Mus musculus: one gene and its partner. The protein of the gene in region 1 purifies or fractionates together with the protein of each later gene. This does not show direct contact. Links are inferred from orthologs where the notes say so. Each region holds a gene or a part of one and is shown on either strand. Other genes may lie near its edges.

Region 1 (3,650 bases):
ATGCATGGTGCCCACAGGCCAGAAGAGGACATCAGATCCCTTGGTATTGGAGTTACGGATGGTTGTGAGCCTCCACAAGTGCTCTTACATTGGGTTATGTGTAATAGCAGCAAACGCTGTTTTTTTTTTTCTTTTCCAACTTTATTAGGTATTTTCTTCATTTATATTTCAAATGCTATCCCGAAAGTCCCCTATACCCTCCTCCCACCCTGCTCCCCTACCCACCCACTCCCACTTCTTGGCCATGGTGTTCCCCTGTACTGGGGCATATAAAGTTTGCAAGGCCAAGGGGCCTCTCTTCCCAGTGATGGCCGACTAGGCCATCTTCTGTTACATATGCAGCAAATGCTCTTAACCACTGAGATGTCTCTCTAGACGAAGATAGTCATTTTTAAAATAGGCTTGGATTGTTCCCATTCAAGGACAGCCTGACTGTGGGGCTTCTGGGGCCTTTAGCTCTTGGACATCCAACCATAGAGACTGTCCTGATGAACCCCACAGATTTTGTGGTGTGTGGGAAGTCTCTCTTGGCTGAGGATAGCCATAGAGCAGAGCCTCCAGGCAGAGCCCCTCAGGGTCGCCTGCCATCCTTGACCAGAGGGACCAAGCTCTTTGCCTTATGTTCCCAGATGAGCGATGTCGAAGCTGGTGGTGCCACCGTCTTTCCTGACTTGGGAGCTGCTATTTGGCCCAAGAAGGTAAGTGTGACTCTTCAGGGTCACACGTTGATGCAGGCCTCAGACCTTGTCCCTGTCCCCCAGTGCTATTGACTGTCAATGTGATGTACCTTAATTCCTTCCCACCTGCACCCTGAACTTCTACCCAGGGAGAAGGGATGGTAAGGAAGACCCTTCAGGGCAGGTAGTTTCTAAACTTCCTTCCATTTGAAGGATAGGTACTTTTTAAGAACTTAGTTTTCGGAGTCCCAGAGCCCCATCTCCCAAACACAGGAAAGGAGGGACATTCTGTCAAAGGGTGAGGGGTTCTTGGAGCATGTCCTTGTGAGTAATCTTTAGGGTGTGCTCTGACAGCTCATCTCTTTCGCAGGGCACAGCTGTATTCTGGTACAACCTTCTTCGCAGTGGGGAAGGTGATTATCGGACGAGACATGCAGCCTGCCCTGTGCTTGTGGGCTGCAAGTGGGGTGAGTGGCTTGAGGGGTAGTGTGGATAGTGCCTCAACCTGGTATTTGATGGTTGGCCTTAGGCGCAGAAGCGGAGACGACAGCTAACTGCGTTCAGTTCTGTTCATCACAAAAGGTTTTCTCTGGCTTGTACCACCCAGCCAGAGCTCCTGCAGTTGTCTGCTGACACTCAGAGATGCTCAGAGAGCTGAGGCAGCCCGGGCTGCATGAGCACCATAGGTCCAGTGTAGTCTCTGGCAAGGGTTTTAGGGGAGCGTAGCTGGGAGGTGTCTGTCCAGGGCAAGCAAGACTTGTGTGGCTATAACCAGCATCTTAGGTAGCAGGGTGGGAGACTGACTGTCCTTGTCACCTGAAGAAGGACAGGTCTGAGATGAGACTGGAGCCAAGAGGTGAGACTGGAGGTTGGGACCAGACCAGAGAAGATGAATATTAGCCTCATCCTTTAAGTTGCTGTGGAGAACTAGAAACGGCCTAGAACGTGACAGGAAGGGACCACATGCGTTTAGAACTCTTGGAGTTTGGGCGATAAATAGTGATTGGCTCACAGAAAAGGTAAAATAAACAAATGAAAATTTGGTCGTTGCCGATTCAGGAGGAGAAAGACCAGTGTAAGTCTAATCTACTAGGTGTCGAAAGCATAGCACAGATAGTCTACATGTGAGCACTGTGAGTTAATAAGAACTAAAGTTTATCATTTCGCTACATATGCTATTAGTCTTAAGTCTTCTAGACAGTTTGTTTAGTTAAGTACAGGTATTAAATTGTATTTTAAAATCTGTCTTTAGTAGTGCATTACTTTTAAAAATGTGTGTGTGTGTGTGTGTGTGTGTGTGTGTGTGTTTGTGTGTGTGTGTGTTTGTGTAAGTGCCATGGCATGTGTGTGAGGGACAGAGGACAATTTGAAACACTGGTTTCCCTCCTTCCATGATGTGGGCTCTGGGGTTTAAGCTCAGATGGAGCTTATAACAGGAGCTATATCATCTGCTCTGCATTACTTTTGTATCCCTTGAGAGAGCCCATGTTTGAGGAACACTCATGGTCCATGCCTGTGACATGGCAGGGACAGTGTTTCAGCTGGGGTGCCCACAGCACTAAGATTCTGTCTTGTGGCTCACAGGGCCTGAGGCTCATGGCCAAACCCTGCCCAGTGCTGACAGGTTCCTGTCCCTCACCTCTCAGTTTCTACTTGTCCCTGTCCCAGCTTCTTGAGGTCCTTCACACTTACCAGAGTGGCTCCTGCCTTTGGAGACTTTCTCAGCTCACTTTCTGCGTTTACTCCACTTGGAGTGGCAGCCGTATGGTATACCCGCCTTCTTTCTGGGATAACTTCTGTTGGCTTCCTGTTCTGTTTCAGTACTGCTCTCATCCCTAACATCATGAGATGCTCTTTGGCTTTGTTCCCATGGTAACTTACATACACCCACCGAATCACTGGTTGGCTTCTGCACCATTATCTGTGTGCTCATGTATTTTCATCAGCACGTGAGCAGCTTGAAGCCTGAGGCCGTGTGGCACTGGAGTGTTACCCACAGAGCACAGGGCAGTGGTCATCATGGAGGAAGCATTCGTTTTGGCTGCTTGCTGAACTGATAGGTGGGATGGTCATGTACTTGCTTTCTGTTCACAGTCTCCAACAAGTGGTTCCATGAGCGAGGACAGGAGTTCTTAAGACCTTGTGGAACAACGGAAGTTGATTGACGTCCTTTTCTCTCCGCTCCTCCCTGGCCCATAGTCCAAATCATCTTCAAGTTCAACATGACAGCTTCCTTTTTATGTCCCAGCTCCTGTCAGGCAGGTCATTGGAGGAGCCAGTGTTTGACTGAATTGAGAGAGTATATCCTGAGCCTAGTCCTGGGTGACCTGGGCCCCAGACTCTGACCAGCTTACACCTGCCCTGGCTCTGGGGGTGTCTTGGCATGGCTGCGGTAGAGCCAGACTATAGCACCCGGCACGGTGCCTTTGTACCTCAGATATTTCAGGTAGAAGATGTCTCAGTGAAACCAAAGTTCTGATGCTGTTTACATGTGTGTTTTTATCACATTTCTATTTGTTGTGGCTTTAACCAAAAAATAAAAATGTTCCTGCCAGAAGCCTTAAATAGCCTTATTTTGGAGTGTTTTGGTTTTGTTGTTATTCTTGTTTGGTATTGTTTGTATTGTTTGGTATTGTTTCCAGGAACTGGGCCTGGCTTGGCTTAAAATGCCTGCCACAGCTAGGCGTGATGGCACATGCCTTTTATCCCAGCACTCGGGAGGCAGAGGCAGGCGGATTTCTGAGTTCAAGGCCAGCCTGGTCTACAGAGTGAGTTCCAGGACAGCCAGGGCTACACAGAGAATCCTGTCTTGAAAAACCAAAAAAAAAAAAGAGTGCCTGTCACACGAACATGGACCTGAATTCTGATATCCAGCAAGTACATAAAACTCAGGGCCTGACAGTGCCTCCCTATAATCTCAGTGCTAGGGTGGCAGAGGCAAGCATCTCTGGGGCCTGCTGACCAGGCAGCCTA
Region 2 (3,650 bases), about 41 Mb from region 1:
TAGACATTCTGATTCCTTCCTAGTGAGGGTGAGGGGCAGGACACAGACAGACAGACAGAGGGCTCAAAGAAGGATTGTGGGAGTGGTCTAAAATGAGGGGATATGTTACCCCCATTGCCCCTGAACTGCTTTTCTCTGTTCTTCAGGGTTCTCCTGGTGAACAAGGCCCCTCTGGAGCTTCAGGTCCTGCAGGCCCCCGGGTAAGTTGCATCTTCCATTACTTCTTCCTGGGTTCCTCCCTGTCTTGGTTACTTTCAGATATCCCTCTGTTCTCCAGAGAAGAGTTCAGAGACCAGACAGGGGGTGGGGAGAAAAAGAAGCTTGGTCTTACAGAACCTTTGACCTTCCCACCCGTGCCCCCTTGCAAACCTGGCCATAGGAACTAGTTGAGGGCACCCTCTGAGAGACAGAAGCAGAGACTGGGCGGAGCCAGCAGTGGGGGGAGGGGAAACACTTCTGAGCCGGAGTTTGGGGGCTGCCTTGAGTTTCTAGCCACTTTTTCTAACCATCTCTCTATCCCTAGGGTCCCCCTGGCTCTGCTGGTTCTCCTGGCAAAGACGGACTCAACGGTCTCCCTGGCCCCATTGGTCCCCCTGGTCCTCGAGGTCGCACTGGTGACAGCGGCCCTGCTGTATGTAGCCCCACATCCTCTGCCTCATGACCCTCCCCCAAGAAGACTTGAATACCTGGAAACCTTGATCTCCTTCCTCTACACAGGGTCCCCCCGGCCCTCCTGGACCCCCTGGCCCTCCTGGACCTCCCAGTGGCGGTTATGACTTCAGCTTCCTGCCTCAGCCACCTCAAGAGAAGTCTCAAGATGGTGGCCGCTACTACCGGGCCGATGATGCTAACGTGGTTCGTGACCGTGACCTTGAGGTGGACACCACCCTCAAGAGCCTGAGTCAGCAGATTGAGAACATCCGCAGCCCCGAAGGCAGCCGCAAGAACCCTGCCCGCACATGCCGCGACCTCAAGATGTGCCACTCTGACTGGAAGAGCGGTAAGGATTAACCCCAGCCACCTCCCCCCCCCCCTTTAGCCTACCATGCTGCTTCCCCCATGTTTTCATACATTCCACTTTCCATATGGTGCTGGCTGCCTACTCCTCCTGACTGCTTTGCCTTGCCCACTTCAGGAGAGTACTGGATCGACCCTAACCAAGGCTGCAACCTGGACGCCATCAAGGTCTACTGCAACATGGAGACAGGTCAGACCTGTGTGTTCCCTACTCAGCCGTCTGTGCCTCAGAAGAACTGGTACATCAGCCCGAACCCCAAGGAAAAGAAGCACGTCTGGTTTGGAGAGAGCATGACCGATGGATTCCCGGTACGTGAGCTGAACCCCAGAGCAACTCTACAGGAGATGGGTTAGCCTCTTATCCAGAAAGCACAGGAAGTCCTGGAGTGGATTTAATCTGCTTAGTGGAAGGGCAGATACAGATCTAGGATACAGGAGTTCTGGGTAGGAAAGCCAGGGACGAGAAGGTCCACGTGATCGCTCATTCTCTCCTCTCTCTGGCCCGTGCAGTTCGAGTACGGAAGCGAGGGCTCCGACCCCGCCGATGTCGCTATCCAGCTGACCTTCCTGCGCCTAATGTCCACCGAGGCCTCCCAGAACATCACCTATCACTGCAAGAACAGCGTAGCCTACATGGACCAGCAGACTGGCAACCTCAAGAAGGCCCTGCTCCTCCAGGGATCCAACGAGATCGAGCTCAGAGGCGAAGGCAACAGTCGCTTCACCTACAGCACCCTTGTGGACGGCTGCACGGTGAGTCCCCCAGACTGGGTCCAGCCTGTCTCTTTGGGCATCTGGTTTAGCCTTCTGGCAGAACAGAGTGAGCCTCACTTCATTCCTACCTTGGTAATGACCCTCTCCCGCTGTCTTCATTCACACCAGAGTCACACCGGAACTTGGGGCAAGACAGTCATCGAATACAAAACCACCAAGACCTCCCGCCTGCCCATCATCGATGTGGCTCCCTTGGACATTGGTGCCCCAGACCAGGAATTCGGACTAGACATTGGCCCTGCCTGCTTCGTGTAAACTCCCTCCACCCCAATCTGGTTCCCTCCCACCCAGCCCACTTTTCCCCAACCCTGGAAACAGACGAACAACCCAAACTCAATTTCCCCCAAAAGCCAAAAATATGGGAGATAATTTCACATGGACTTTGGAAAACATTTTTTTTCCTTTGCATTCACCTTTCAAACTTAGTTTTTACCTTTGACCAACTGAACGTGACCAAAAACCAAAAGTGCATTCAACCTTACCAAAAAAGAAAAAAAAAAAAAGAATAAATAAATAACTTTTTAAAAAAGGAAGCTTGGTCCTCTTGCTTGAAGACCTATGTGGGTATAAGTCCCTTCCTGCCCACTTGGCTTATGATACCCTAATGCTGCCTTTTCTGCTCCTTTCTCCACCCCCTCTTGGGGCCTCTCCTCCATTGCTCCCCAAATTTAAGTCTCCCCCAAGACACAGGAAATAATGCATTGTCTGCCCAGCAAACAAAGGCAATGCTGAAATGTCCCACCAGCCCCTCAACCCCGTCTACTTCCCTACCCAGCACCCTCAAATCCTGCTGGGACATGGGGTTCTTGGACTGTTGAAGGAACCTAACCATCTGGCATCTCCATGGCCTCTGCAACAAACCCCCCACTTTTTTCTCTCCCCCCCCCCCCAGGGAGGGCCTGTGCTTTGGGCAGCCACCTGCCCCTCTCAGGGGTTTGGAGCCAGGCAGGGTCACAGCAGACTGGAAACATCGGACATGCATGTGCAGGCTGGGTGGGAGAGACCGTTCTATTCCTCAGTGCAATTGTGTTGCTGAAAGACTACCTCGTTCTTGTCTTTGTGTGTCACCGGGGCAACTGTGTGGGGGCGGGGATGGGGGCAGGGTGGCAGCACGCCCAGTTTGGTATCAAAGGTGCTACATCTCTGTGAAGGGGTGGGGTGGGAAGGAATTTCTGGTGCTATAGAAGCTGAGATGCTCCCTAGACCAGCAAATGTTTCTTTTGTTCAAAGTATTTTTTATTCTTTTTTTTTTTTTTTTTAATGGATAGGGACTTGTGTGAATTGTTGGGGTTTTTTTTTTTTTTTTTTTTGGTTTTGTTTTTTTTTGTTTTGTTTTGTTTTTTTTCCTGAAGGTGCTATTTAACAAGGGAGAAGAGAGTGCGGGGACTTCACCCTGCCCACTCTCTACTCTCTCTCCACTCTTCTAGTTCCTGGGCCTATCTGATCTCTCTCTTTCTTCTGAAACCCTCCCCTCTTGCTGCTGCTCCCTCCCCTCTGCCTCTCTCTTGGTCTGTCCTGCATCAGGGTTTCAGAGCACCACTTTCCAAAGCACAAAACAGTTTTTACCCCTGGGCTGGGAGGAAACAAGAGACTCTGTACCTATTTTGTATGTGTATAATAATTTGAGATGTTTTTAATTATTTTGATTGCTGGAATAAAGCATGTGGAAATGACCCAATGCATGTGCAGTGGCCTCTGAATTTCCTTCCTGGGACGTGGGGAGGTGGGGATCCAGGGACAGGGCTCTGGGATGGGGGACTTGCCTTCTACCCCTGCCCTTTCTCTCTCCCTCACTTCTCATCCAGATATTGCCACCTTCCTCTCTTGCCTGTCTTATGCCTTAGACCTTTTTTCTTGCC

Evidence for each region. Proteins that work in one complex are often made in the same cells at the same time.
Region 2: the proteins of P4ha2 (region 1) and Col1a1 purify together in Homo sapiens (co-immunoprecipitation; 3 studies listed by BioGRID and IntAct, counting the BioPlex papers as one, with this or other methods). This does not show direct contact. The link is inferred for Mus musculus from reciprocal best matches to the Homo sapiens genes P4HA2 and COL1A1.

Annotation. Positions count from the first base shown.
Region 1 is NC_000077.6:54,128,419-54,132,068, forward strand, and holds the end of P4ha2 (prolyl 4-hydroxylase subunit alpha-2 isoform 1 precursor), read left to right. Parts: intron 1-629; coding exon 630-698; intron 699-1,047; coding exon 1,048-1,144; intron 1,145-2,771; coding exon 2,772-2,842; 3' UTR 2,843-3,249; downstream 3,250-3,650. UniProt on the Homo sapiens protein: Catalyzes the post-translational formation of 4-hydroxyproline in -Xaa-Pro-Gly- sequences in collagens and other proteins.
Region 2 is NC_000077.6:94,949,574-94,953,223, forward strand, and holds the end of Col1a1 (collagen alpha-1(I) chain preproprotein), read left to right. Parts: intron 1-146; coding exon 147-200; intron 201-523; coding exon 524-631; intron 632-717; coding exon 718-1,000; intron 1,001-1,135; coding exon 1,136-1,326; intron 1,327-1,527; coding exon 1,528-1,770; intron 1,771-1,899; coding exon 1,900-2,046; 3' UTR 2,047-3,469; downstream 3,470-3,650. UniProt on the Homo sapiens protein: Type I collagen is a member of group I collagen (fibrillar forming collagen).